Oryctolagus cuniculus: one gene and its partners. The protein of the gene in region 5 purifies or fractionates together with the protein of the main gene of each other region. This does not show direct contact. Links are inferred from orthologs where the notes say so. Each region holds a gene or a part of one and is shown on either strand. Other genes may lie near its edges. The genes, in order: CNOT1, CTNNB1, EYA3, TNKS1BP1 and FHL2.

Region 1 (6,146 bases), on a different chromosome or scaffold from region 5:
CCATGATAAATATATCTTTAAAAATAAATTCACTGGCCAATATTTTTGTTAATATAAGCATAACAAGCATTTCCCAAAAAATTAATCTTAAAATTTGAGAGTATTCAATTAGAAGTATTACGGACAAACTTCCTTTTGCGGCATTAAGTACCAAAGATTTGCATTACCACACAGAATGAAATAAATGAAATTAGGCTTGTTAAAATGCAATCTTTGGGGTTACTGCCGTGATGCAGTGGGTTAAGTTGCTGCTTGCAATGCCAGCACCCCTTACTGGAGCAACAGTCCCCACTTCCGACCCAACTGCCTAATGTACTTGGGAAAGCCAGAGGATGACGGCCCAAGTGCTTGGGGCCCTGCCACCTAAGTTGGAGACCCAGATGGAATTTGGGGTTCCTGACTTCAAAATGGTCCACCTCCAGACATTAAGGCCATTTGGAGAGGGAACCAGTAAATGGGAGATCCTCAATCTCTCTGTCACCCTGCCTTCCAAATATATAAACCTTAAAAAAAAAAAAAAAAAAGCGCTTGTCATAACTAGATCAGAATCTAATAAAAAACATACTTAGAAAAAGTACAGGCCGGCGCCACGGCTCACTAGGCTAATCCTCCGCCTTGCGGCACCAGCACACCAGGTTCTAGTCCTGGTTGGGGCGCCGGATTCTGTCCCGGTTGCCCCCCTTCCAAGCCAGCTCTCTGCTGTGGCCAGGGAGTGCAGTGGAGGATGGCCCAGGTCCTTGGGCCCTGCACCCCATGGGAGACCAGGATAAGTACCTGGCTCCCAGCTTCGGATAAGCACGGTGCTCTGGCCGCAGCACGCCGGCCGCAGCGGCCATTGGGAGGTGAACCAACAGAAAAGGAAGACCTTTCTCTCTGTCTCTCTCACTGTCCACTCTGCCTGTCCAAAAATTAAAAAATAAAATAAAGTACATGCAAGGATAATTTGAGATTAGGCTCTAAACCATATATTTTTTTTTTTTTTTGACAGGCAGAGTGGACAGTGAGAGAGAGAGAGAGACAGAAAGATCTTCCTTTGCCGTTGGTTCACCCTCCAATGGCCGCCGCGGCCAGCGCGCTGCGACCGGCGCACCGCGCTGATCCGAAGCCGGGAGCCAGGTACTTATACTGGTGTCCCATGGGGTGCAGGGCCCAAGCACCTGGGCCATCCTCCACTGCACTCCCTGGCCACAGCAAGAGAGCTGGCCTGGAAGAGGGGCAACCGGGACAGAATCCGGCGCACCGACCGGGACTAGAACCCGGTGTGCCGGCGCCGCTAGGCGGAGGATTAGCCTAGTGAGCCGCGGCGCGGGCCTAAACCATATTCTTAAAGAGCTGGCATTTCCTTTTCTGTCCTCAGTTTTTTAATGTTTTAACCTAATATAAGGGGGATATCACAGTACTCTGCTTCGACAAGAACCATGCCAGAGACCAGGCTTAAGCCCCACTAAATATTCAAAAGAGATTTTAAAAAGAAAACTAAGCCAAGGTTCCCATCAAGTGAGGAAGGAAGCAAGGAGAGCATTTCAGTTCTGTTTAACCATAACGCCACAAAACCCTGCACTAAAACTTTGGTATGAAAGTCGTTTCAGTTACCAGTGGTCAGGTCTGGTTGCCTTGACTCTAGCTAAAGGACTCGGGACACACACTTGTTGAAGGGTCCAGTTCTATCCACATGCGGCACAGCCAGCTTTTATGTATCATCATCCCCATTTTCTCCTTAGACAAGGTAACAATTTCCAGTGTCCTAAAACACAATTATTTAAACTGTTACCATATACCCCAGTAATAACTAAAATACTGTGCTGCCAACCTTTGGAAGGGTAAGAATGCCAACCAGGAACACAGATCATAAGTAAATCCCAGTGTACCGCTGCAAAAAATAAATTTGGTCTGCCTCTGTTTGACCTACTTCCTGGTGTTTTACTCACCCATTCCCGTTTTGTTTTTTTAATCCATGTAGCTCTCTATTCCTTTCCAAAGAGCTGTCATGAGGGAAATACTCAAAATTGTTGACAGCATTTTTATCATTCACTTAAAAAAAAATCCACAAGTAGCCACAGGCAATAGAATAGAGCAACAGCAAAATTAAGTACTCAGTTTTCAAGGAAAAGACTTTTTTACTGCAGTCCCAAGAAATGTGACGTGGGGTCGGGTGACTTGAGGCGAGAAGTTTACTTCTCATACACTTTAAACGCAACGCTTTCCAAAGCTCACAGCCAACAAGCACTTTCTTCGCTAACCTACTACACAGTGCACTCCCGGCGGTTCTGCAGACGAGAGTGATACGGGGAAGGGGTGTTTGGGTTTGGCCTCAAGTAACACCCAGAACCCGGGCAGCTCGTCTCTCGGCAGCCGCGAGGCCTCCAAGCGCTCGGCTCACCAGGGCGACCCCCGCCCGGGCGAGCAGAACCGCCGCTGAGGCAGACACCGGCCCGAGCGGGTGGGCGGCCGGCCCCGCAGCAACCGTAAGCGCCGCGGCGCGCGAGTGGAACAAAAACCTGTGGCGAGAATGAGGAAGTGCTCGCTCCCGCCCGCCCCTCCCACCGGCAGACACCCGAAACACGGGGGGTTTGACAACGTGCTGGGGGCGGAGGAGGGGGCAGCGCGGCAGCCCCGGCGCCCTGGAGCCACCCGGGAGCCCTAACAACTCGGAATCCGGCTGCCTGGCCCGAGGAGCTAGGCCTCGGGGACCGAAGCTCGCTGCACCCTGCCGGGAGCCCGAACAGAAAAGGAGCAGTTGAGGAGCTCGCGGAGTTTGAGGAGGGTGCAGCCCGCGCGAAGCCAGGCCCAGGGGCCCCAGCTGCCACCCACTGCGCCGCCAGGCCCCGGCCGGGGGCCACCCCGGGTCTCACCCCGCACCGAACCTGTGCGCTTCCAAAAGCCTTCGCGCCAACGCCTTCTCCTCGGCGCCCGGAGCCTCCGCGGGCCGTGGGGAAAGAGTCCGTCCTCTCCCGCCTCGCCCCACTTCCCTGTCCCGGCTGCCTCTTACTCCCCGGAGCTCCGGGAAACGCTCCCTGTAGCCCCAGGTCCACCCCCGTTCCCTTCTCCCCACCCCGGCACTCGCGCTCCCAGGCTGACACCGCCAGCCTACTCCAGCCTCTGACCCCAGCCCGCCTCACCTCAGGCGGTTCCGGTGGCGCTGGACACAGGAAACTCCTGGGTCCCCGACTCCGGCTCTCCTCGACCCCCTCTTCGGTTAACTCCGCTTGTTTCTCTACAAAATGGCGCCGGAGGTCGCGCGCTCACGTCGCGGCCTTTCCCCTCCCCGTTCCCATTTCATCATTCGCTGCCCGCCCGAGGAGGGAGGGCCCCCGCATCAGCCAATGACCTCAGCCCGCTCGCCGTTCCCGACCAATCACCGTCAGGGACCCGCGGATTCAAACCAATCACAAACTATCACTTGCAGAAGTCAAGGAAGAAACCAGGCTCCTGCTAGCAACTACCAATCAAGACCCTTACTTCGCGGTCTTTGGCCAATTGCCGCTCACCAGCCCCGAGGGACCCGAGTCGGAGCCCTCGCGCCTGCGCTCCAGGCGAGGGCCAATGGGGAGAGGCTGATAACTTCGATTCGGGGCTTCCCGGACTTCCCACCTGCCCTCGAAGTCTTCAACCAATGGGGGCCAGCGATTGCCTCCGAGAAACAAAAAATCAGGGGGAAGCATAACTCCTCACCACCCTGCGCGGGAACTAGTTCGAATCGGAGTGCGACGGCCTTCCTCAACTTTCCTTCTTCACTTTCCTTCCTCTTTCGAAATGTCACGGTCCAGCACACTGTGGGGATGCCCAGTGGAAACATTCCCCTCCCCTCGGGTCCTTTTGGAGGGGAACGCCAGCAGGCAGAAAGCGAGCCAGGTTGGGACGCTTTGAATCCTGGGAGTTGTAGTCCCGCGCCTCACGCCTTTGCGGTCGCAAAAGTATGCGTTGCCTCCCGTCACCTGCGGCGCTGTAGGAAGAGCAGTGCATGCAGGGGAATGTAGTCTCCCACGCTCCCCCCCAGCCTTATCTTGCTTGGCTTTCCTTAAGGGAACTTTCACTTCTAGTCTACCTATGGGAGAAGTGACTCCTTTGGAAAGAGATAAGGAACTCAAGTTGTCTTTCTGGCTGAAGCCCTGGAAGCGCTGTGGAAACGATATTTCCTGTCTCATACTACCTTTTGTGCCTAAACACACTTCGTAAAACTTGTGGCAAAAGTACATAAACTTACTATCTTAACCGTTTTTAAAGCCTGTGGTTTTAAAAAAAAAAAAAAGATTTTTATTTATTTATTTGAATGGCAGAGTTACAGAAAGGCAGAGGCAGAAAGAGAGAGAGTCTTCCAACTGCTGGTTCACTCCCCAAATGGCCGGAACTAGGCCAACCTGGAGCCAGGAACCAGGAGCCAGGCCCGGTCTCCCATGTGGGTGCAGGGGCCCCAGGAATTGGGCCATCTTCTACTGCTTTCCCAGGCCATAGCAGAGAGCTGTATCAGAAGTGGAGCTGGACCGGAAATTGAACCAGCACCCATATGGGATGCTTACATGGCAGGCAGTGGCTTTACCCACTATGCCACAGCGCCAGCCCTTATCTTAACCATTTTTAAATCTGCAGCATACTATAGTGTTTCCCATATTCATAGGTTGTATTACAGACTCTAGAACTTTTCTTTTTATAATGTGTTTATCTTTTAAAAGACTTATTTATTTATTTGAAAGTCAGAGTTACACAGAGAGAGGAGAGGCAGAGAGAAGTCTTTCATCCACTGGTTCACTCCCCCGGATGGCTGCAACAGCTGGAGCTGCACCGATCTGAAGCCAGGAGCCAGGAGCTTCCTCCAGGTCTCCCACGTGGGTGCAGGGGCCCTAGGACTTGGACCATCTTCTACTGCTTTCCCAGCCCATAGCAGAGAGCTGGATGGGAAGTGGAGCAGCCAGGACTCAAACCAGCACCCATATGGGATTCTGGCGCTGTAGGCAGGGGCTTTACCGGCTACACCACAGCACTGGCCCCTAATGTATTCATTTATAAGAGACACAGAGAGATATTCCATCTACTGGTTCACTCTGCAGGCAGATGTCAGAAGCTGGGAACTCAATCCAGTTCTCTTGCATAAGTAGCAAGAAATCAATTACTTGACCTATCACTGATCCCTCCCAGGGTGTGTATTAGCAGGAAGCAGAAATCATAAACTGGGAGGAGAAGTGAACCTGGGACTTGAAACCAGGCATGCCAACATGGGATGTGGGCAACCCAAACAGCATCCTAACTGCTGTGCCAAAGGCCTTCCTAACTAGAACATTCCATTTTGCAAAAGGACTCCCCAGTTACAACTCTTCCCACCCCTAGCAAACACCATTTTCCTTTCTGTTTTTAAGGGTTTCATTACTTTAATATCTCATATAAGTTGAATTGTACAGTATTTGTGTTTTTCTGGTGGTCTGATTTCACTTCACATAAAAATATTATGCGACACCTGCTTTTCCTTGGTTGGAGGCCAAGTCTTTCAGTAAACAGGTACTGTATGCCTTATGCCTTCAAGCAGCTATATGAGATCCAGGAATCCCACATGCAGCATGGACAAGGATCATTCCAGTTGTACATAACTATTCCTTGCACCTAGTCCTCAGTACCTGGCACAAGGTAGGCATGTGCTGAAAAAGTATGAAATAGGCCGGCACCGCAGCTCACTAGGCTAATCCTCCGCCTGTGGCACCGGCACACCGGGTTCTAGTCCCGGTTGGGGTGCCGGATTCTGTCCCGGTTGCCCCTCTTCCAGGCCAGCTCTCTGCTGTGGCCCAGGAGTGCAGTGGAGGATGGCCCAAGTGCTTGGGCCCTGCACCCCATGGGAGACCAGGAGAGGCACCTTGCTCCTGGCTTTGGATCAGCGCTGTGCACTGGCAGCAGCGTGCCAGCCACGGCAACCATTGGAGGGTGAACCAATGGCAAAGGAAGACCTTTCTCTCTGTCTTTCTCTCTCACTGTCCACTCTGCCTGTCAAAAAAAAAAAAAAAAAAAAAAACTGAAAAAGTATGAAATGAAGAAATGGATCTAAAACATTGCATCAAAAGACAAAATTACAACAAATTCAGCTGAAAGCTCTTGACTGACTTTTATTTATGATTCTACAATCAGGCAAGTCCTCATTCCATTGAACAGAATGAATGTTTCAA
Region 2 (6,213 bases), on a different chromosome or scaffold from region 5:
TTTTGCAAAACTTGTCAAGTATGTATTTTAACCTGTTAGCCTAGTTATCCATCACACAAATGAACAAAACAGTACACCAACAACAGTCTGTTAAAACAAGGGTAACTAAGGCCCCCACCATCTGCAGTGCCTGCATCCCATATGCCCGCTGCTTTGAGCCACTTCCGATCCAGCTCTCTGCTATGGCCTGGGAAAGCAGAAGACGGCCCAAGACCTTGGTGGCCCCTGCACCCACGGGGGAGACCTGGAAGAAACTCTTGGCCCCTGGCTTCTGATGGGCCCAGCTCCGGCCTTTGTGGCCATCTGGGGAGTGAACCAGCGGATCGAAGACGGATCTCTCTGCCTCCGTCTCTCTGTACCTTTGCCTTTCAAAATAAAATACATCTAAAAAAAAAAAAAAAAAAAGTGGGAGGACTTGATTCTGCCAAGATATCTTCTCCATGAAGCTGCAACAGGCAATAGCTACATGCTTTGAATAAATCAGAAAAAGATTCTGGTCTATGTTTACTATTTACTTTCCTGGTATAAAAACGTTTTCAGTCAAGCTGTTTCAACAATAGATACCATAGTTCCAATAAATAGAGGCCTACAAGAAAACAACCAAGTTAATACAAGCAATGTTTTCAAAAACAATCACAAACCAGCATGTACCACTACAATACCCCCCATTGGTTACAATACCCCCCCCCCTTTAACATCAGAAGTCTATCCAGATATAAAAGCTTTCATCCTTCTTGCCCTGGCTTAGCAGTCAAGCATGTCTCTGACCCCATTCAGAGTATAAACTTTTTACCACCTACTCATCTACAATTATTATCACCAACTAGTAGACTATGACAGGGAAACAAAATCACCTTATAACAAATGTATTGTTTCATTTGAACAGACTTAAACAGCCAGTTCTAATTTCACTACCTTTAACCATAAATGAATGATAATCAAACTCTCTATACCCCTAGTTTTAACAGTAACAACATGCTCCTTCTCTCTGCCTCTCCTAACTGGAACAAAAATGCTACCTGCAGTTTTTCTATGTACCATATTTTCAATCACCCTTAGAAAAATTTCCTCCTCTCGATCTTTTTCCATTTTGGCAGTGGGGTTACAAAAACAAGCATACAGGCCTTCATTTGTGACAATTTCAATGCCAGCCATTACTAGGTCAATTCAGTTTGATAAATTTTAATAATGGAATATATTTTTATACTTAATCTTGAAAGACATCAGATGCCAATGGGTTTTTTAAAAAAGTTTTGACACTTGAACACTACTAAATGCTTTATTTTTTTTTTCCTAGCCTTTTTTTTAAGTTGGTTTTTCCTAAAAGCTGTTTTAAATGATTGCTTTGGTCTATGGGAGGCTCTCAGGCCTAGGACGCCACAGGACTCTAAGCTACAGGCAATACTAAGCTTTCTAGGGCAGTTTTTCAATTCCTTCTCAAGGACTTCAGACTGAATGGTCTCCGCATTCCCTTAATCCTGGAGAACAGACTTCTGCAAGTTTTTCAAGTTACTGTTGTGATCACTTCAGGGCCTTGTCTTTGTGCTTGGCCTTCAGAACAAAGATTAGGTCAAAGTAATGAATACTGGGTGCAAATTAATCACATTTTGTCTTGTGTGAAAGGACAACCTCCAATAAACCATAAGGGAATTTTCTTCTTCTACCTGAGATTTTTGAGAATTTAAAAGTAAAATGAAAGTAGCTTTAATCCAAACAAAACACCTCCAAAATAGTCAGTGATTCCAACAAACAGTAAACAGCAGCATAATGTAGGTAACACTCCGGGCTCGATGTAATATTTACTAGAATGAAGACAAGTTAACAGGAAGCCAACGAAGGGTACTGACGGTTCACCAAGTGGCAAGTAAATAATGGAATGGCTTTCTAAATTCCAGACAAAATACTTTACAACTTAGCGATCTGAAAAACATCGGCCTAGACGTCATCAAAGGAAACGCAGCCGTCTCTTCAAGTTGCTGTCTAGTCTGAGCCACCATTATTCACGATACAAAGCTCTCAGTTCACTAAAACCACTCCTCGATTTCCTTTCGCCGACCTCTGCATACCAGCAGCCCAGTCTCCCTTCATTCACCGCGCACAAACTCGGGGGGAGGGGAGACCACAGATGTCTGGAAGACACAAAGTAGGAGACAATGCCCCCTCCAGCAAGGAAACGACTACACCCCGCGCCCCAGCTCGGCAGATCCAGAAGCCGGCGACGGGAACCGAACTTCCTTGAGAGTCGGGTTCAAAGTCCTCTCCCCGCACAAAACACCGAAAAGAAGTTACAATGCTTGGATTCTCGTCTGTCCCATTTCGTGGGGGAGGAAAAAAAAATTCGCTCCGCTGAAAAGAAAACGTGCTCTAAAAAGGGGAGAGGGGAATCAACTTCAGCTGCCACACAACTATTGGAATAAATTATTCCCACGATCGAGAAGTCTCCAGGCAGCCGGAGGCTGGAGCCTGCGGGCCGCTCGGGGACCAAGAGCCGGTCCCCGTCGTCCCCTCCCCTACGGTCCTGGGGTCTCAAGCCCCACGGCCACAAACCCAGAGCGCTCCACGCCGCCCCCACTCGCCTGCACGCACGAGAAAACCTCGGTGCACGACGCACACTTCACAGGTGCACACCCTACTGACGCATCGCGCCGGCTGCACGAAGAGTTTAGTTACTCTGAGGCTTAAAGTTGTTTCGATTCGAACTCACATAGGCAGGGTTGTTAACAATATATCCTTAGTCGTCTGTTAGACGCAGAGAGGAAACCCGCCAACTCCACCGGCTCCCATTCCCCGCCGCAGAACAGCACCTGGGGGTGGCGTCCCGGCCTCCGGCGTCCCGAACCCCCAAACTCGCCGCCGGGCTGCGAAGGCGGAGCCCCCCGGCCGCACCCCGCCCCCCACCCCGGCGCATCCCGAGGCGCAGGGTCCCTCCCCCAAACTCGGCCGCCGCCGGAGCCCGGGACGGAAACCGCCGCCTCCCACCCCCACCCCGCCGCCGGTCATCCGGGCTCCTGGACGCGCCCCCGCGGCGCCCCCTCCCCGCCCGCGGCGCCCCCCGGGGCCCCCCGAGGGGCAGCGCGGCCGGAACCTGGGCCCGGCCGCCGCCCTCCGCGCCCTGGACGCCGCCCGCCCCCGCCGTCGCCGGCCCGCGTCCCCGGCTCCCCACCCCGGCCCTCCGGGCTGCGCCGGGCCCGGCTGCCCGCCCGCCCGCCCGCCGCCGGGACCGCGCGCCCGGGACGAAGTTTGGCTCCGAAGAGGGAGCGGGAGCAGCCCAGGAAGGGTAAGGGAAGGGAGCGTCCAAGCACCTCAGGGGAACAGGCTCCACCCGCCGCGGGCGTCCGACCGTCCTCGGCCTGCGGTGGCGGCTCGGCGGGGACCGCAGCTGCTCCTCGCACCTTCCTCCGTCTCCGCCTCCCCCTCGCTCTCAGCTCCCGGGGCCGGGCTAACGCGGCTGCCACAGACCGAGAGGCTTAAAATGGCGCCGCACAAGGAGCTCTTATAAGTCGCGCTGGCCCGCTGTATCCTGCCGCCGCCGGCGCAGCGCGGAGCGTTCCGCCGCGCGAGGACGAGGGGCGGGGCGCGGGCGGCCGCCGAAAGTAGTCCCCGCGCCGCCCGCCGCCGCCGCCGCCGCCGTCCGACCGCCCCGGGGCGGGGCGGGGTGGCCCGCGCGCGCGCCCGCCCGCCTGCGCGTGCCCGCGCGCCCCTCGGACGCTCCCAGCGTGGCCCGCCGGCGGCTCCCTGGCCGCCAGAGACAGCAGGGGAGCGGAGGGGGCGCCGTGGTCCGCAGCCGGGCGGCCGGCCCACCCCCACTCTGGCCGATGTGGGAGGAGGGCAGCTCCGTCCCGAGCTGGACGCGCGCTTCCTGTCCCCCCGCGGGGGAAGGGGCCATCGCGCGCCCCGGGCCTCAGGAGCCGCGTGGGGCCGCGTGGGACGGGTCTCGAGAGGGCTGAAGTCGGGGGCCCCGCCGCGGGTCGGGGCGCTCACTCCCCCGGAGGTCCCTGCGGTCCGGAGGGTGGGCGCGGCGTCCCCCACCGGACTCCGGGCCGAGCCGTCCCGTCCCCACTCGGTGGCCGCACTGGGTGAAGTGGGCGCCGAAGCCCCGCGTGGTTCAACAAGTCGTCCCGAGTCCCCCCACTGCGAACAGATGACGAGTGGAGGAGGACTGGCTCCCGCGCGCTATCGGTTAGGTCTTTGCTATTTAGTAGCTGACCTTCGTCTGGTCCCACTCGGAGCAGCAGCGGAGCCACTGGTGGGGCTTTTCCTTTGGGAAGAACTGCGTTTCCACCCTCCTGCTGCTCCAGACATCCACGGAGGTTGTTTCTAGGAGGAGCTGTGGAGGAGGCAGCCTGGACCATGTTTTTAAAAACTAATTTGTTCTTCTTCAGCAGCGTCCCCTGGTTCTCAACTTCAAGGAAGTTGGGAGTGCACCCGCCTTGCCCCCGTCTCCATTGTCATCCTGCAAGAGTGGCATCTGTCAAAGCCGGTCCACTCTCTCTCCTCCATTGTTTTATGCTTATTTTTCCTCCAAAAACAATGGAGAAAGTACAGAAGGCAACAGTGAAAGTTACCTCGGGGGCTTTTCTCCTAGGACTGTAATTAATGCCTATGCAAACAATAGGTCTTTATACAGAAGTACAGGCAGGAAACCTTTTTCATCACCTCATGGAGATAGCATGCTTTGGAGCCAACCTGCTCTCTAAATGACACTTATTTTTCGGTCCTAAAGATGTTTTACTGTATACAGCGGTACCGCTGTCTCTCGCCACAGCTCGCGGGAGCCCCTGCAGTGGAAAAAGTCCACCCGCTAAGATGATGCTTGGTGAGGTCCATTGTCTCCAATGGTTTTCTCATCTGTATCTTTGCAGCAATTGTATAGAATCAAGTGTGCGTGTTGGTCGCAGTTAATTTCCCTGGTCGCAACTCAAAACAGATCGAACGGAAAAAGGTATTTCATCAAAGTACTGTTTCTAAGACAAAGTCAGAGGTATAAATGGCGTGTACAGGTATCCACACCCCCCCCCCCCGTTTTAATTGTCATGTACAGAGTCAAGGAATATTTCAGTTGATTTGATTCAAATTATACATTTAAAATCAGATGACTGATTCTCCACAATTAGTATTTTTTAAAAATAGAGCTTTGCATCTTCTGTGTTCAGTGTGTTTTTGCTAATAAGGCACACTGTTGAAACCTGTTAAGACATATCTGCACCAGTAGAAAATCTAAAGAGTAAGAACACTTTCTATCTGTATTTCTCTGTTCAGGTGCCAAAATAATCTAAGAATTTTTTCTGTAAGTTTAGAATCAAGTTTTTTTTTAGCCCTAGTGATACTTAAATACACAGGTTATTCAAAGAAATGTAAGATTTGCAACAATGCAGCATGCTGTTTTCTCCATCACATGTAAGTATACTTAAGAATTACTGGCATTAAAACAGATTATTTGGATTTAACAAATTGCTCAGAATTTTTATTTGCTTCTCATAAAACAACAGTTGTCTCGTCAAAAATACGAAATAACGTCTATGAAATCAAGACAAATACTATTATCAAACCAAAGGGAAAGAGCATGAAAATACCTAATGACTTGGTGAAATAAGTAATTCTGTGAAAATAATTACAAGAACTTGACTTTGAGCAATACATTTCTTTAAAAAAAATCTCAGGGTTATCTTTTTTTTTTTTTTTCCACCTTTTCCTTCAAGAGCCAGTCCAATGAGTTTGACATAAATTAAATCATTCTGTGAAATGGCACCAAACAAATGGTTCTACATTATAAGGCTGTGTTGTTAGAAACCCAAGTGTCTCCCGCTGGTTTAACAGAAGATACTGCTTGCCATGATACCAGACCATAGGCGTATCAAGCAGTGGCTGCATAGAACCTGAAAACACACACTTTTGAATTATCGTTCTGCAAAAAAATAAAAATAAATGCCCAGATTGTTTTTGCACTTCAAAAAAAGAAATATTAATCAAACCAGCATTGTAAAGAAGATTCCATTCACCGTGTGGATACTTAACTCTATCAAATCCATTAATTAAACCTTTATTGGGTGCCTAAGACAATGAGCTTCCTTTAGAGAGAGGGAAACGGATGAGTGGCTCCTTTGGATTAGGTCCCTTAAATCAATGTAAAATGGTCACCGTGTGTTGACTCGACCCGAAAATAAGCAGAAACGGCAGCAGAGAAGCTGTGAGACCAGGGTGTGGTCACTTTGG
Region 3 (5,429 bases), on a different chromosome or scaffold from region 5:
TTGGCCCCAGTGCTGAGGTATCCACCAATTTCCCAGGGGTCAGGCTGAGAGATGCTCCTGCATTTGGTCCAGGATTAAGTCTTCAGGTGTGAAGTAGGGGAGCCCGCATCCTCATTTAAACCAGGAAAGACTGGCCTTCTGGATTCCTACTGCAGAGTGAACACCAGAAGCGGGTATTGCTGGGGAAGGTAAGAGCAGTCTGCTGTCAGTTTCAGGCAGAGGCTTGGGGGGAATGTGAACCCAGATACCCCACAGGCAACTTATGGGCTTCTTCACAGGAAGCCCAATACTTTGGAAGTTTGGGCCAATTCTTATCCAGCCTATTCTTAGACTTGATTTGACTTCTTGGGACCAATGTGTGTGGACTGGTCAGAGCTGAATGGAGACAGCAGCGAAGGCTTAGGCCCAGCAGCTGATGGACAAGCAGAGGGGGCCGCAAGGTCGGCAGTGGACGGGAAAAGCTGCTTCTGTGCTGGAGGATCGGATGGCGTCTTCCTGTCTTGAGAGCCAAAGAGGCTGAAGTTCCTAAGAAGCCTCAATCCTTTTTCTCCAGGTGGGAGGATTAGCCTGCTGGCATGTAGTCTCTGAATTAAGAGTCAAGCTGAAGGCTTAGAATTTACCGTCTGAAAGAAGCAGTTTCTTGGTTTGTGTCACTTGATTAAAGGGGAAGAAGGACTGGAAAAAGGACTAAGACTTTTAAAAGGATGGGAAATGCCAAGTCCAAAGTTCATCAGTGTCCAGCACCCCACAGTTCGGCCAAGTAAGAAATGGAAGAACGGGAGAGAAGCAGACCCCTGGGAGCAGCTACGGGGGGGCTACCGTCACACAGAGGTATTTAGACATTTCAATGACTATTTTCAAGGAAACTTTAAATGACCCTTTCTTGCTAGAAAAAGAAAGGGGGACACCTGCTTCAGAGACCCTCACCTATAAAAATAACATACACATTCACTGGAAGTAAGTTCTACGGCTAAGGAGATTCTAAAGACTGCAAGAGATGTCCCAGAAGTCTGCTGCGTTATCCTCTCACCACAGGGTCACAGCAGTTCTCAGTCTGACCACCACTAAGAGCGCACCTCTGCTCCAGGAATTTCCATTCTTTTTTTTTTTTTTTTTTGAAACAAAACAAAAGAGAAGAATTAAAAGCACAGTAGCTGCAACGAGCCTATTGTTCTCTCTATCCAGCTGTCTCCGCTTCTGCATGAGGATGAACACGGGCTGGGGCTGACTCTCGGCCAAATCTGCAGCTGTTGTTCTGATTGTGTTCTCGCCAGCATTCCATGGAGCAAAGACAGAGAGTCCCCAGCTGGTTCCAGTCTCTGGCTGCCCTCAGGAGTGGAAAGGAGCTCACCAGAAAGGCTCCTCATTCCAGTTCTTAGAGAAAATCCAGCTCCAGGGCCTGGTGCAGGGACACCAGGTCTCCGTGGTTCGTGATCCTCCAGAAAGGCATGTTGTGCTGGAGAACGGAAGGTGAACGGTCAGCCCAGCTGCTTTCGCGGTTTTTATCCACCCGTACCCAACCCTCCACAGACCTCTTCCCAGGGTACTTGGTAACCTTCCCCACCTCGGAGCAGTCATAAGGATCAGAGTAACTTTGCATGTTATAGGACACTTCACACGTGTGAAATGGGTTCAGTGGTAAACTCTGCTTTTACTGTAAGAGATATATCTATTCTAGCTACTATTCTAGATATACTATTATATTATTATATTAATATATGTACACTATTCTAGCTACACAAAGCTCATGAAAAATGTGTATCATGAAAAAACTATGCATGGATTTCAAGATTATCCACACCAAAGTAAACTTATCTTTTAATCTCATTCTCCACCAACTTAAAAAAATGTTTATTTGAAGGACAGAAAGAAAGAGACATAGAGAGATCTTCCATCTTCTGCTTTATTCCCCAAACGCCCAAAACACTTAGGGTTGGGTCAGGCTGGTGCCAGAAGCCTGGAACTCAATTTAGGTCTCCCATGTGGGCTGCTGGGACACAAGTGATGACTTGCTGCCTCCCATGGTGCACATTAGCAGGAAACTGGAATGGGAAGCAGAGCCAGGACTCAAACCAGGCATTCTGATGTGTGATGTGGGCATCCCAAGAGGTGACTTAACAGTTACATCAAGCACCTATCGCTCACACTAGATATTTAAAAGGCCATTAATATACAGAAGAGGAAGCAAACTTGTTTTGTTATGCTCAGGTGTGCTAGACTTACTTAGAGATAACGTTTTATTCAGTGGAAGGCTGGACTCCACAGTGGAATAGGCTACCTGGGCACACCTGGGTTTATTCAAAGAAGGACCAGCAAGTCTTCAGAAAAGATCCCTCCCATGGTGGAAGTCGGATCAGACAAAGCATTACAGCGTCTGCCAGGGGGTTAGTCTTCAGTAGGTGATTACAAGCAGCACGGTAACTACACCAACTTTGCTAATGACTCAAATGGTTCTTTCTCTTCCCCACTCCCTTCTTCAGACAGGGAAGCACTAAGCTGACACTTGGGTCTTTCCCAAAGAGAGCAACAAGAAACTCTGTAATGAAAGCTTCTGTGACGAGATATGTGAAAAAAGCAAATGTCTTTGAACTGCTACATACAGTGACAAATGAAACCATCACGAGGTGCTAACACCAACTGATCACAAATCACATGATTCATCATTAGTTTGTTTCTTCTTCTTCTTCTTCTTTTTTTTTTTTTAAGATTTACTTATCTAATTTAAAGGCAGAGTTACAGAGAGAAGTTTTCCATCTGCTGGTTCACTCCCCAAATGGCCACAATGGTCCAAAGCCAGGAGCCAGGAGCTTCCTCCGAGTCTCCCACACAGGTGCAGGGGCCCAAGTACTTGGGCCATTTTTCACTGCTTTCCCAGAAACATTAACAGGGAGCTGGATCAGAAGTGAAGCAGCAGGGACTTGAGTTGGCACCCATATGGGATGCTGGTGCCACAGGCAGTGGCTTTACCCTCTACGCCACAGCGCCAGCCCTTTTTTCTTTTTAAAATTTATTTATTTTCTTGAGATGCAGTTACAGTGGAGAGGGAGTGACAATGGGATCTTCCACCCACTGGTTCACTCCCTAAATGGCCCCTATGGCCAGGGCTGGGCCAGGCTGAAGCCAGGAGCCTGGAACTTAACCAGGTCTCCCATATAGGTGGCAGGGATCCAAGCACTTGGGTCATCTTCCGCTGCTTCCCCAGGCACATTAGCAGGGAGCTGGATCGGAAGTGGAGCAGCCAGGATAAGAACCTGTGCTCACATGGGATGCTGCTTCGCCTGCTACCCCACAACACCGTCCCCAGTTGCTAAGGTTTCTATGTTACCTGGGGGAAGAAACTCAAGGCAGGTGGTTCTAGTTGGTAACCCACTGAATACAAATCTAAGAAACAGAGCTGCTGGAAGAAAATAAACTGAGGTAGGGAAGGAAAGAACTTCTGTAGATCCATTTAGTAAATGAGGAAACTCAGAGAAAACAAGTGAACTGTACAAAGTTGCACAGCTTATAAACACATGGGAACCGAACCTGCCTTTGTAGATTCTACAGCCAAAACTCTTTCACCTACTGTTCCCTGTAGTGAGAAGGGATGACCTGGTGTCAGGACATGTATAGCTATGGCGTTAATATCAGAACCACTGTTCAGGGCTCAAAATTGGAAAGGACATTCTTTATAGCAATTCAGTCCCAACCGTACTGTATATATATTTTTTCTTTCTTTCTTCTTAGAATCTGAGCCTAGAAAAGTCAGAATGAGTTGTGCTTTTTGTGGTCAAGGCTGATATTCTTGAGAAAGGCACTGCCATCTACAGTGAAAACAGGTTTAATGATGAGGCTCCTTGCAACAGGCTTCAAAGATTTTAAGATTTTTGACTGGCAGGGATGAGGTGGTCTGTCAGCTTATACAGAGAATTTCATCTGGGGAGAGAACCACTCTCCTCTTTACAGCACAGCACTGTAGCTGCACAGCAGCATATCCGGATTCTGAAGTCTGAACCTCTTTTCTGACTGCTCAATGCCCAACCTCTGGCTTATCCGCTTTGCCGGTTACCTGCTTGGCTGCAATTTCTTCATCGCGTCCATCCCCAATCACCACATACGTGACTTTCTTTCCAAACCTTGACACAATTCTCTCAAAGCAGCTCTCCTTACCTGATGAGAAAAAGAAATTTCCTATGAGAATATTCTTCCCTTTTTTCCATACAAAAGAAAAAGGCTGCAAACTGTCAAACCAGTGGTCAAAAATGTTATATTACTACAGTTTTTTTATTTAATTTAATTTATTTATTTATTTTTGACAGGCAGAGTGGATAGTGAGAGAGAGAGACAGAGAGAAAGGTCTTCCTTTTTGCCGTTGGTTCACCCTCTAATGGCTGCCATGGCTGGCGCGCTGCGGCCGGCACACCACGCTGATCCGATGGCAGGAGCCAGGTGCTTCTCCTGGTCTCCCATGGGGTGCAGGGCCCAAGCACCTGGGCCATCCTCCACTGCACTCCCTGGCCACAGCAGAGAGCTGGCCTGGAAGAGGGGCAACTGGGAAAGAATCCGGCGCCCTGACCAGGACTAGAACCCAGTGTGCCGGCGCCGCTAGGTGGAGGATTAGCTTATTGAGCCGCGGCGCCAGCCCATATTACTACAGTTTTAATGATCCGTGTTTACTTTAAAATTTAGTGTATACGGGCGAAATGGCCATTTCTCCATTCAATTATTGTTTGTTGTCTATATTCTCATTAAACTAGGGTCTCTTTGCTTTTCACTTGTTAAATTTATCAAGTATTAAGTCTTTACTATAATGTAATTTAAAAATGTTATCTCAAAACAAAACAAAAAAAGAAATGCAGAAAGAAAGTGAGAAGGAGAGAAGGAGGAAGGGACTATCATTATGTTCTTAGCATTATATCTACATGTACATTGAATCTGCTAAAAGCTAACTAAAAATTAAAACAAAAAACTTAAAAGACAAAGGCTGCAACAGTCAGGTTCACCCGCCTGTACTCGGACAGACCACGTGGCAGCCCACGTAGTTTGCTTGGTTGGGAGCAAAGGTAGTGAACAGAGACTCAGCAGGCCCACTGCCCAAAAGAATGTGACACTGGGCCATTACAACGGTAACTTATTTTAGCCCTCATATCAAGGAAATTTCTACAACTGGGAGACTAAGGGACATGGGGTGTGAGACAGCTGTGAGTACCACCTCCTCTTCCACATCTTCTGTACTTTATAGTTTATAAAACACTTTCCACTTATTCCTTCATTTATTCTCACAATAATTCAGTGAGGCAGGAACCATTCTCTGTCTCACAGGTGACTCACAGGTCTAGTGACGTGCCTCAGGTCACACACAAGCTATTAGTTAGCATTAGACATGCCATCCAATTCCAAACCCAAATTCTGGCCACTGGGCCATGACAAATGAGTGATTTCTGAGGAGA
Region 4 (6,086 bases), on a different chromosome or scaffold from region 5:
TGTGCGAGTGACAGGAGTGGGACCGCAAGGCCGAGGATGCCAGGAGGGAATATGAGAAGGCCATGAAAGAATATGAAGGGGGCCGAGGCGAGTCTTCTAAGAGGTGAGCGTCAGGAAGATGGCCCAGAGGCTCTTCTTGGCAAGTTTTTTTTTTTTTCCAGAGTGAAGTTGGGAGTTGAGGTGTTGGAGTAGATAGGGCTTTGACAAAGCAGGCCTGTGCTTCTCCAGCTGCCCAAGAGTGGGTGAATTCAAGTCACCAGATCAACATGGCCCTTTTCCCTGGAGGGTCAATTTCATTTGAAGATACAGGGAAGTTAAAATAATTATGGAGAAGGGTGAGAAAAATCACCTGAATTTTCAAAGATAAAGCAAGAAATGCAAATGAGTTTGGCCTGTGGGGCTGCCTTGGGCTATGGCTTTTGGTTCTTCTGGTGTATTCACTCAGGGAATGCCCTGGGGGCACCCTGGGCAGCATGGGGCAGCTGTTCACCTTGAGAGTGAACGGGGCAGTGTGGCTGGGACTGGGCACGACCTGATGTAAGCTGGGAGAGGTCTGGCCTCACCCATGACAGGGGGATCCTGCAGGCGCAGCTCCCTTTTACCTCTCCCGATGCAGAGACAAGTCCAAGAAGAAGAAGAAAGTGAAGGCAAAGATGGAAAAGAAATCCACACCCTCCAGGGGCTCGTCGTCCAAGACGTCATCCCGGCCGCTGAGCGAGAGCTTCAAAAGCAAGGAGTTTGTGTCGAGTGACGAGAGCTCTTCAGGCGAGAACAAGAGCAAAAAGAAGAGGCGGCGGAGCGAGGTGCAGCGAGACAGCGGGCGCAGTTGGGCGGGGAAGGGTTTGGGGCGTGAGTCTCGGGTGCGGGGTGTTCCCGGCTCAGGGGTTGTGGTGGGTCTGTGAGAGGGAGGAACTGGCAGTGAATGGGAGGGGTTCTGAGGCTGGTGAAGGTGGGTGCTAGCGCTGCCTGGCATGGGGACCAGAGGCCCCGCACTGAAGTGTGGCCAGGTGTCTGGTGTGCTGTGCCTTTCCCCTAAGAGGCCTCTCTGGCTTTCAGGACTCAGAGGAAGAGGAGCCAGCCAGTACCCCGCCCAGCTCAGAGGACTCGGCGTCAGGATCCGATGAGTAAAGAGGAGGAAGAGAATCCGCTTGCCCCGTCACAGCCCCAGGCTCCCCACCGGGTTTTGGGCCCAGTTTCTGCTCACATGACGCGTGGTCCTCAGAGTCTGTGCCCCCGGGACACGCTCTCCCGGTGGTGCGCACTTCCCTGGGATGGGGAGTTGTCTCGCTTCTGCCGCTTCACGGGATGGCGCCTTACAATCTGGGGAGAGATTGGGTGGGAGGCGGGGCACAGGACCCAGATCCCTGTCCTGCGTTCCCCACCTTCGGGATACAGCCACCGCTATTTCTCCTTCAAGTTGCCGCAGCAGGAGTCGTGTGAAATCAGGCCTGAAACTCCTCGGTGGGGCCTATTTCTACCTTCATTTTGTATTTCTGGTCTGTGAAAATCAACATTTAATAAAGGGAACTGACTTTGGAACACGTGTCCTCCTCGTGCCTTCTTTCTAGCCCTCTTGCGCTGCTCCCGCTCGGCCCACTGTTCCTGGGCAGGGCGCTCCCGGGCAGCCGGGAAGCAGGTCTCCCAGGTCCGGCTGCACCAGCATTGGTTTTCACCCCCTCTGCCGGGATGGGCCACCTGAGAGTCTAGAAATGGGAGCTGATCTGATTAGTAAGCCTCCCTCACAGCTCCACTCCATCAGCCAGGCCAAGGGGGAGGCGGCCCTCTGCTCCTTGCTTAAATCACCTTATGAGTCAAGGGGTCTTGGAAAGCTTGGGCTAACACAATCAGGATTGACTGTCCTCCCGGGCGGGCGGGGGAGTGGAAACCGGAGCTGGCGGAGCAGAACGAGGGCGTGTGTGTGTGTGTGTGTGTGTGTCTGTGTAGGGCTGCAGGAAAGGTGTGCAGGGTGTTTGTGTGTGAAGCTTTTGTTCTGAGGTGCGGGAGGAGACAGAACCACACGTTAGGGTTGGAAGGAACTTAGGGCTGAGACAGATAATGGGAGTGACCCAGGGAAGCAGAGCCGCCCAGCTGAGTGGACACACGTCCAGCAGCCACGTCGCGAACGGCCTCAGGACTCAGGTGGCTGGGAACAGGAAGCCAACCCAGTCCGCCAACGCTACCCTCTTGCCCGACGTGGCTCTATGGTGCTGCAGTCCCTAAGAGCGGCCCGGCCCGAGGAGGGGGCAGTGCCAAGGCTGCCTCCTCTCTAGGCGATCGTCTCGGTGGCCATTTTACCCAAGCGCTCCCAGCCGCTGAATTGCGTCAGTTTCGCCCGAATCTGAGCCCCGGGGCGGGCCCCTCATTTGCAAGATCATGAATAATTGAGTAGCGGGCCGCGTCTGTTTGCATACGGCGGGACGGGCTCGGCCTGGGCTTCCCACTCGCGGGTTCCACCGGCTCATGAATATTCACAAGGCGAGCTGGGGGCGTGGTCGTGGGCGGAGCTGGGGGCGGGGCCCCCGCCGGGGCTCGCACTGGCTCGGTCCCGCGGTGACGGCGGCAGCGGCGGCGGCGGCGGCAGTGGCGGCGGGGACTGGCGTCGGGGCGCCGGCTGAGCGGAGCCGGATCCCGGGAGAGCGCGTGAGTGCGCGGGGCCCGGCGGGCGGGAGGGCCAAGGAGGAGGCGGGGTCCGCGGTGGGGCGGGGAAGGGGCATGGGAGGAGTGGGCGCGTTCCAACCAGGACCTCGGGTTGCGGTGGTGGTGGTGGTGGGTGTGGGGGGGGATCGTGACTAGGAAAGTTTGCAGGGGCTGGGGGCGCTGGGGCGGGGGGGAGGGGGCGCTGGCGCGTGTGCGCGGGCGTGGGGGGCGCAGGTCTGGAGCTCGTGCTGGCGGAGCCAGAAGAAAGGGGGGAGGGGGCGAGGGCTTGGGGCGGGGCTGGGGGCGGGCGGAGCGGCTGGAGGGACCCCCGCCTCCCCGTCCCCCGGGCCCGCGCCGTCCCCTCCTCCGGCTCCCTCGGCACGCCCCCAGCCACCCCAGTCCGCCCCCACGTAGCCGGGCCACCGTCTGCTCGCCTGCTGCTTCTCGTCCCGCGCGCAGGTCCACCGCTGCTGCCGGCGTCGCCCCCTCCTCCTCCACCCTCCTCCTCCACCCTCCTCCTCCTCCTCCTCCTCCTCCTCCTCCTCCTCCTCGGCGGCCGCCGTCCGCTCTGTGTCCGGAGCTCCCCACCGGGCCCCTCCAGACAGCCCCTTGCCCCGGGCTGTTCTGTCTTCCCGCTGGCCCTCCCTCTTCCTGCAGTTTGCACGCTGTCCCTGCCGACCTCTCTGGCCCCGGACCCGCCTGGAGGAGGTTCTAGGGTCCACAGGGACGCCCCGGCCTGCGCCCCCCTACGCGAGCCCGGAGCCGCCTGGCCCCTTCCCAGCCTTGCTGGCGATCGCCTGTCTCCCGCGAACTCCTGCGGGCTGGAAGTGCTGCGAGCTGCTGCCGCATCTGGCCACCGCCTTGGTCACTGGGGCTCCTGGCCGGGGCCTCTGAGTTGCTGCGGCCACCTCCCTAATGGGGTGGGGGGGTGGGGCTCTGAGCCCACCTTCATGGCCACAGCCTCTCATCCTGCCGAGGGGCTCATCAGGGACCCCAGGTGAAAGCGCTTTTCGGTTCTGGGCCGGTTCCTCTGCGTTTCCACCCACTCACACCCTGTCCCTTTTAATGACGTTCAAGGACAAGGAAGCAGTCTTGTGTTTTTTAATTTATTTTTTCTATCATGTGCTCACCCCCTCCCCGTGCGCGCACTGCACACTTGGCTTGGCGCTGCAGTTACTCGCCCACAGTGGGCAGGCCTCCGTGCTGGTTGCCTGACCAACGGGTTGAGTATCTCTGCTGTCTTTGCACTCTCTTGTGTCTTTGCAACCAGCTGGGGCCGCGGCAGAGTCGGGGGTGGGAGGGTGAAGGGGACAGGTTTGCAAAGGTTAGGCACCTGTTTTTGGGGAATTGGTGCTGTTTTTCTGGACTACCTGGAGCAGGTAAGGAAGGTGGTGCCAGGTGCATGTTGGAGAGCCTTGTGTGGCCCTCGCCCGCTCTGTACCTGGCAGGTGATAGGTGACATCCCCCTTTCTTTGGAACCAGAGTGGCAGGCTGGAGAGCCTGGTGTGGGGTGGGGGGTGTCTTGTGGGTGGGAGGGTGCCTCCGGAGCCGGGATGGGAACTGAGGAGGTGTGTGCAACCCAGGTGACAGGACTGGGGCCTGGAGAGTGAAAGAATGGCCTTGGAATGCAGGCAGCCTGGCCTTGGGGGGAGAGGAGGAGGTGGTTGCCAGGGATGTTAGCTCATTGGTGGCCCTGAACGGAATCCCAGGAATACTGGCCAGCGTTTATTGGACACTAATGTGCTGAGCATTGTGTGAAGCAGCTTCCAGGCATCATCTCCCCGAAGCCTCCGGATAGCCTCTGTAACCCCACTTCTCAGACCAGGAAGTTGAGGTCTGGAGAAGTTGCCCAGCTAAGGAAGTGGCAGACCCACCTGACCCACCCAGATTGGAGTCCTGAGATATCGCACGTGGAGGCTCACCTGTGTGGCTTTACCATGGGGCCGCGTCACTTGATTGGCCTGCTGATGCCCCCCTCAGAACCCCTTCAGGCCGGTCCTAGCCTATGGGGACTGCCCACCTACCCCCTTCCCACAGGCTCTGGCTGTCCCACCCTGACAGTCCTGGAAGGGGAAACCCCAGGGAGTTTTCCCCCAGCACCCCCCCCCCCCCCCCCCCCCGGATGTTCTCAAGCCCTGTCCCGTTCTCCCAGCCCAGGCCTGGGCCGGCTCCTCCTTCCTCTTGGCGAGGCTCTGGAAATCCAGTGGGAGGCCATTGCTATGGCAACAGGACTAGGCCCTGGCTTTACCTCATCAAATTCCAAGCTGAAGCCAAAGCGATTGAGAAATTAAAGAAAAAAAAATGTGTTCCAGATGTTTACTTTTTTTATTCCTTATTTTTCCGTGTTTGGATGAGACAGCTCCAAGGAGGGGTGGGGGGAGAGCCGGGCAGGGATGTGGAAGGAGAATGGGGAGAGAGGGGGGAGAGGGAACCACTCCCAGCTGCTGGAGGGAGGGAGGCAGGGAGAGCGGGAAGGGGGAGGCATGCCGAGGGGCGGAGCCCCAGGTTGGGGAGGAGCGGGTTTTTCCCGTCTCCCTGGAGGTGATTCACGGAGAGGCTTCAGACTGCACTCTTCTTGCTCTGTCTGCAGTAGATTCCTTACAAGGGGCTCCTGGCCCAAGCAGGGGGGCCTCCCTGGGAGCTGTAAGTGGGGGTGTCTCGGGGAGCTGGTAGTCCCTAAAGCTCCAGGACTTTGGGGTTAGGAGAGCAGAGCTGGAGAGGATGTGGGAAGAGTTGAGGACACGCCTGCTGGGGACCTGGCCTGACCTCCCCAGCCCCCTCCTGAAGTTCCCTCTTCCTGTCCCACACTCCGCCTCTGTGGAAGTAGGAGACCCCTGGGCTAAGCCCGCTGCCCACACCCAGCTCTCTCCCGCTGTCTCTTCCCGAGCCTCCAGCCAGCGCCGCTCACGCGCTCTGCTTCCTATTTCTCAAGCAGGATCTGCCGCATGTGATGAAAGTGTCTACTCTCAGGGAAAGCACAGCCATGGCTTCCCCACCGCCCCGGGAGCCGGAGGAGGAGCTGCTGCCCGCTGGCTCCGAGCCAGGTACCCATGGGTGCAGGGTGGAGCCGGTGGCTGAGAGCAGGGTGGGAAGGGCGCAGGCTGCACCCCCATTCCATCCTGGGGGGTAGCTGAGTTGAAGTGTGTTGAGGTAGCTGCGAGGCAGGGCCGCAGTACTAGGAAGTGCGGGATAGGGTGGGAAGGCCCTCGGCCCGGCTCTAGCACCTCTAAGGGCAGACAGGACCCATGGGGGTGATGTGGGTCCAGCTGTGTGTTTTGCAGGTGGGGGCAGGGGCTGCGGCCGGGAGAGGGGACCCCTGAGACCCAGAGGGAGGCCTGGAGTGCACCCACCCAGGCTCCTGCCTCCATGTCTCTAGACTCTTAGCCAGCTGAGCGGGTGATCGAGGGTTCCACTAGAAGGGCTGTGACCCGGAGTGATTGCGATGCTGT
Region 5 (5,499 bases):
CTGCTGTGTGACCTTGGGCAGGTTGTCTGACTTCTCTGCACCATGTACAGCTTCGTAGTGCCTGTAACTCACAACGTGGTAATAATGACCATCACAGGTGTCTCTGCAAAGTTGGGATGTTTTCATGGTGAGTGTGGAGGCCACCCCATTCCTGAATGGTAGGGGTCGACAGTGTGCAAATGATGGGCTTTGCTATCTAAAATAAGTTCATGGAGCCAGTTGTAGCGCAGTGGGTTAAGCTGCCACTTGGGGTGCCATCGCCAGCACCCCATATCAGAGTGCCAGTTCTGAGTCCCAGATGCTGTGCTTTGGCTGCAGATCTCTGCTGATACACCCGAGGAGGCAGCAGAAGATGGTCCATGTGTCCCCAGATGGCTGCAATGGCCCAGGGTGGGCCAGTCCTAAGCCAGGAGCCAGGAGCTTCTTCCAGGTCTCGCATATGGGTGCAGGGGCCCAAGTACTAGTGCCATCATCTGCTGCTTTTCCCAAACACATTAGCGGGGAGCTGGATCAGAAGTGGAGAAGCCGGGACTCAAACCAGAGCCCATGTGGATTGCTGGCATTGCAGGTGGTGGCTTAACCTGCTGTGCCACTATGCCGGCACCTCTCCCCATATTTCTGAAAAACACTTTTAAAATGCAAAATGAGACTGGTTCTATGCACCTTCCCCCTTTGCCCTGGTGTACAGACCCCTGAGTTTGGGTCCACAAAGGCTAGCGAGGGCCCCAGCATTGCAACAAACCACCCTAACAGGCCCTGTGGTGAGGCAGCTTCCATCTCGGACACCCCACTGATGTGTAGAGTGCTGGTCTCACAGAAACAAGGCTGCGTGGTCCCACTGGAAGAAATGCCTTGTGCTCCTCGCTCCTTCCTGCGTCTGCCTCATCTTCTTGCCTTAGCTCTGGTTCTGACCCCAGATGTTCCAGAGATGGCAGGAGAGAGGACGGGGCTCAGCACAAAGCCGTTACCGCGAGGTGGTGGAGGTGACTATTTTCGGAGTATTCCATCACTCACGTTTTTAATAATTCCTTGGACTAAAACGTGCAGAGAGAGCGAGGTCATCGAATCAAATAACTTGGGGTCGTTTTGGGCTCTGGGAAAGCAGGTGCGTGCACATGCATGCACGCACACACATACAGCGCGGTATTTCAGCGAGAGAGAACTGCTTGTTCTCCTTCAGGTTCCGACGTTAGCTGGTGTCTTGGGACTTCCTGATGGAGTGCATCCTACACTCGGGGCGTGGGTTGCAGCCACAGAGGCAGATCGGTGGGCCGCCATCTGCGTGCACCTCCCACGTGGCACTCAGGGTCCCTGTGATCTGGAACCTGGCCCAGAAACCTGCAGCGTCCCCCACACGCTGTCTGTGCCTCGTTAGAAACAGAGCGTGGGCCCGGGTCACAGCTGGGAATACACAGACAGCACTAGAAGTATCCTCTTCTGGAAGCCACGCTGCCTACAACGAGGCTGCTATTTTGGTTTGGGTTGGCACTTTCAAAATGTCCTTTTTAAACAGGCAGATAAAGAAGAGATCTCGGGCGAGGGCAAGGGTGTCATGCTGTTGCACGGTTTTCTCTCCCGGGCGCATTCCGGTTTCAGCCATGACTGATACACCTGGCCTGCCTACTCGCTGCCCGCAGCCGGGCCCAACAGGAACCCTCACTGCCCCCACCCCACTACCCCTTAGCATCTGCCTTGCACTGCCGCTCCGGCTCTGCCCCAGGCCCCGCCCTGCCGCCCCCAAGTCCTCCGCATCTGCTGGCGGCACCTGCCTAAGACGCCTCCCCAGAGCCCCCTCGCCGGCTCGCCTGGGCCCTGTGCTTGGGGCTCCTCTCGGAGCGTGCCCCACACGTGGGCTTCTCTGTCTCCACTGAGCTGCCTCCATCGAAGATCTAGCTCTCCCTGCTGCGTGTGGAGCACGAAGCACCCAAGGCCCGTGCTCGGCTTCCGCGTTTCTTTCTTACAGGCAGGACCTAAGGAAAAGCTCGTTTTCAAAATCACCTCCCTTTGACCCATGGTCCTTACACACACAGCAGGAGCCCAGCAGCCCGGCATCGGTCATCCCAGCCTCGCTTCCCCTTGTTGCTTTGCCTTGTGGGTGTCTTGAGTACGCATGTGCGCACATGCGCACTCCCCTGCGGTGGCCTGACTGCGCGTTTGCGCGCATGCGCACTCCCATGCTGCCCTCGGCACTGACCGTCTCGTGTGTCTGGCTCCGCAGGACTTGTCCTACAAGGACCGGCACTGGCACGAGGCCTGCTTCCACTGCTCGCAGTGCAGGAGCTCGCTGGTGGATAAGCCCTTCGCAGCCAAGGAGGAGCAGCTGCTCTGCACGGACTGCTATTCCAACGAGTACTCGTCCAAGTGCCAGGAATGCAAGAGGACCATCATGCCAGGTCAGGACACGCGGCCGTCTCGCGCGCGGTGGGGGCGGGGGGGGCCGCGGTGCTGAGCCGGTCCAGCCCCAGGCCTTGCTGTGACCCGCCGTTGGCGTCCACTTGTTGCACACACTCGGGTTTGACTTCCCCTTGAACTCAGAGAAGTGCTCAGAGCACCACACTGATTTTTCAAATGCATAAGATCCATGAACGTGATAATGAGATGCGGAACAAGAACCAGACGCTGGGGGTTTTCAGTTCGTAGCTTCGGTAGGTTGAATATTCATTTCTTCTCTTGTTGATGTGAAAGGCAGAGTTATATAGGGAGAGGGAGAGACGGAAAAGAGAGAGCTCCTCCATCCCCTGCTTCACTCCCCGAATTGACCGAGACAGCCAAGGCTGGGCCTGGCCAAAGCCAGGAGCTCAGAGCTCCACCAAAGTCTCCTGCGTGAGTGGCAGAGGTCCACCTGCTTGGGCCATCTCCAGCTTTCCCGGACGCATTAGCAGGAACTGGATCAGGAGCAGAGTTAGCCGGGACTGGAACCTGCGCCCGGTAGGGGGTACCCGCCTTGCAAGGCGGGTCGCTGGATTCCTGTTGGCGTGTGAAGAGAAGCAAGGCCCAGGAGAAGCTGACACTCAGTCGCTGGCTCCCCCATGGAAGACCTCTGTGTGAGTCTCTTTAAACCCAAATGCCAAGCAATGGAGTCTGTGCTCCATTTGAGGGATTGCTTGCTTTTTTGCCAGTGAAGAGTTCTCAGTGAGCAGCTGGCATATGGAAAGTATTTTAGGAAGATAGATTGAACAAGAAGTAATTTTTTTTAAAGTCAAGGGGATAATTGTAGGCCTCTGGTAGCCTGGTTTCTTATTGCCACGACTAATACAACTTCAAAATAATTGCGACATACAGGGTACTTCAAAAACTTCTTGGAAAGTGAAATTAAAACACAGGTCTGGGCCTGGTGTTATGGCATAGGGGCTAAGCCTCTGCCCGCAGCACTGGCATCCTATATGCTGGCTCGTGTCCCGGCTGTTCCTTTTCCAATCCAGCTCTCTGCTATGGTCTGGGAAAGCAGTAGAAGATGGCCCAAGTTAGGTCTGTTTGGGTGCAACAATGTTTTTGAAATGCATGCATGCGTAACTTTTCATAATCGTCCTTTCCATGAATTTTTCCAAGATCTCTTGTGCCCTAACAAAAGCGTGAACCACTGCCCTGCTGGGAGCTGTGGGGAGGGCACAGCTGAGGGGCCACGTGGAGACCTCAGAAGGTGGAAACTCCCGTAGGAACTCGGCCTGCGTGCCCTGGACAGTGGGAGTAAGAGCTGGAGCCCCCAGGAAACCAGGCTGAGCTGTGGCCCAGCAGAGACACAGCTGTCCTGTACTGTTCACTGAGAAACAAATGAAATCTCCTCTAGCCTTGTTGACTAGAGCCAAGGAAGCCTCCGAGCAAACTTCTTTAACTCCTCTGTCCTGTGCCCTGTTCGCAATCCCTGCACTGCGGAGAAGGCGCAGGGCCTCCCGCAGCACGGTGGAGCAGGCTCCCTCCAGCCTGGCCACCCTTGGTCCGCGTTCTTGCACGTTCTTGCCCTTTTTCTTGTTTGCTCCTTAGCTCCACTCACGCTCTGCCCTCTCCCGAGTCAGCCCTGCTGGCCCCTGCACCGCTCCAGTCCTCCTGTCCTCCACTGCCCCACTTGGAAGACCAGGTCCTCCTAGGGTTCTTCCTGAGTGGGGAGGTGGGGAGGCTGCAGGCGGAGGCCCCTAACCATGCGGGTGTGTGGTGGGGAGGTGCAGTTGAAGACCTGGCATCTGTAGACGCCATGCCTGAGTCCTTCTGCGCAGATGAGACCATTCTGAGAGGCCGTATTTGTGCACTTGGCCACAGTGCAGCCTGGAGCACCCCCATTGGAAGCGCCTTTCACAAGAATGCATGGAAGCATTCGTAATTTAAGCTTAAATGACCTTCAAGTTCACCTGCTGCTCATCTTACCAGTGAAGAAACCAGAGTGGCAGTGTCCTGCCCCTAACTGCAGTCAGTGGCTGAGCAAGGTTAAAGTCCTGTCGGGAACGCACGCTTTCCTCCACCTGGGAGTGGGGCTTCCTCCATAGGGGTTTGCTGGCAGGTACACGGGGTGCACCTTGTCTGAGATCTTCACTCCAGTGAGACAGCTTGGTGCCGTCCACATGTGTTGGACACGAAGCCAGGAGGCCCGGTTATCCTTGTTTTTGTCACCAGAGCCAGTGATCAGAGCTGTTGGGGCCCTGACCTCCCCATGGGAAAGAGGAGGGGTCCAGAGCCTCCACAGCACTGTGCCCCCCACCTCTGTGTGAGTCTCTGTAAACCCAAATGCTGTTCCCCCAACTTGGTCTACATCCTTGATGGGAAGGCGGGAGCCGTGGGAGACTGGAGCTGCTTTGGTTTGGCTTTTCCCACTGGAGGGTCTGTCCTGGCCCCCACGCCTCAGTTCTCCTGCCCTGAACTTTGAGGGATGAGGCAGTTTCTAACTAGGATGCTAGTTTCTAACCCTCCCTGGTTGTGGCGCCGACTTCCCCGGTCGTAGGCCCCCCAGTGACTTCATCCCCCTTTGTGTCAAAGTGGGAGAAGATCATCCTGAGTATCAGACTTTTCCTGACACTGATTCTTGGAGAGAATTCTGACATCTCAGACCAGGGGCTGTTCAAGACACGAAACCTTAGCGCCAACCACGTCGTACCAAATAGATGTGTTTCCTGCGTCTCCGAGTTCCTTGCTGGTCTCCAGGGTGTGAGGGCCCTGGAGAGGCAGAACAGACAGGGGATGTGCAAGGCCACATTGTGCAATTCATGAAAAGATGGAAGGAAAAGATTAGTGTATTTGGGTGCAAAAAAAAAAAAAAAACCTTCCAAATGCAAGCATGGTTTTTAATAATACACATTTCCATGATGTTGAAGGCCTTGCATATATATGCACACACACGCGCACACACGTGTGAAGACAGAGCAGCAGAGAGAAGTTGATTTTGAGGGGCTGGCCCATGACTGGGGGAGCTGCCAGGCTGCCTGGCAGGCTGGCGGCTCAGGTGAGCCAAAGTCACGGCTCTGAGCCATAGCTCCTGACTCGTGCGGGACAACCAGGCTGGAAGCTCAGGCA

Evidence for each region.
Region 1: the proteins of FHL2 (region 5) and CNOT1 purify together in Homo sapiens (affinity purification with mass spectrometry; 3 studies listed by BioGRID and IntAct, with this or other methods). This does not show direct contact. The link is inferred for Oryctolagus cuniculus from reciprocal best matches to the Homo sapiens genes FHL2 and CNOT1.
Region 2: the proteins of FHL2 (region 5) and CTNNB1 purify together in Homo sapiens (affinity purification with western blotting; 3 studies listed by BioGRID, with this or other methods). This does not show direct contact. The link is inferred for Oryctolagus cuniculus from reciprocal best matches to the Homo sapiens genes FHL2 and CTNNB1.
Region 3: the proteins of FHL2 (region 5) and EYA3 purify together in Homo sapiens (affinity purification with mass spectrometry; 3 studies listed by BioGRID and IntAct, with this or other methods). This does not show direct contact. The link is inferred for Oryctolagus cuniculus from reciprocal best matches to the Homo sapiens genes FHL2 and EYA3.
Region 4: the proteins of FHL2 (region 5) and TNKS1BP1 purify together in Homo sapiens (affinity purification with mass spectrometry; 3 studies listed by BioGRID and IntAct, with this or other methods). This does not show direct contact. The link is inferred for Oryctolagus cuniculus from reciprocal best matches to the Homo sapiens genes FHL2 and TNKS1BP1.

The regions. Positions count from the first base shown.
Region 1 is NC_091449.1:41,893,020-41,899,165, forward strand, and holds the start of CNOT1 (CCR4-NOT transcription complex subunit 1), read right to left. Parts: upstream 3,790-6,146; 5' UTR 3,673-3,789; intron 3,289-3,672; exon of another isoform or gene 3,120-3,288; intron 1-3,119.
Region 2 is NC_091441.1:106,507,691-106,513,903, forward strand, and holds the start of CTNNB1 (catenin beta-1), read right to left. Parts: upstream 3,560-6,213; 5' UTR 3,303-3,559; intron 2,840-3,302; exon of another isoform or gene 2,705-2,839; intron 1-2,704. UniProt on the Homo sapiens protein: Key downstream component of the canonical Wnt signaling pathway.
Region 3 is NC_091438.1:143,664,093-143,669,521, reverse strand, and holds part of EYA3 (eyes absent homolog 3), read right to left. Parts: intron 4,150-5,429; coding exon 4,049-4,149; intron 2,043-4,048; coding exon of another isoform or gene 1,965-2,042; exon of another isoform or gene 1,886-1,964; intron 1,457-1,885; coding exon 1,376-1,456; 3' UTR 1-1,375. UniProt on the Homo sapiens protein: Tyrosine phosphatase that specifically dephosphorylates 'Tyr-142' of histone H2AX (H2AXY142ph). 'Tyr-142' phosphorylation of histone H2AX plays a central role in DNA repair and acts as a mark that distinguishes between apoptotic and repair responses to genotoxic stress.
Region 4 is NC_091432.1:14,792,989-14,799,074, forward strand, and holds the start of TNKS1BP1 (182 kDa tankyrase-1-binding protein), read left to right. Parts: upstream 1-2,529; 5' UTR 2,530-2,640; intron 2,641-5,143; exon of another isoform or gene 5,144-5,280; intron 5,281-5,569; exon of another isoform or gene 5,570-5,572; 5' UTR 5,573-5,587; coding exon 5,588-5,681; intron 5,682-6,086. Other genes in the region: FACT complex subunit SSRP1, read left to right, coding at 15-103, 617-803, 1,057-1,128.
Region 5 is NC_091433.1:103,233,743-103,239,241, forward strand, and holds part of FHL2 (four and a half LIM domains protein 2), read left to right. Parts: intron 1-2,218; coding exon 2,219-2,393; intron 2,394-5,499. UniProt on the Homo sapiens protein: May function as a molecular transmitter linking various signaling pathways to transcriptional regulation. Negatively regulates the transcriptional repressor E4F1 and may function in cell growth.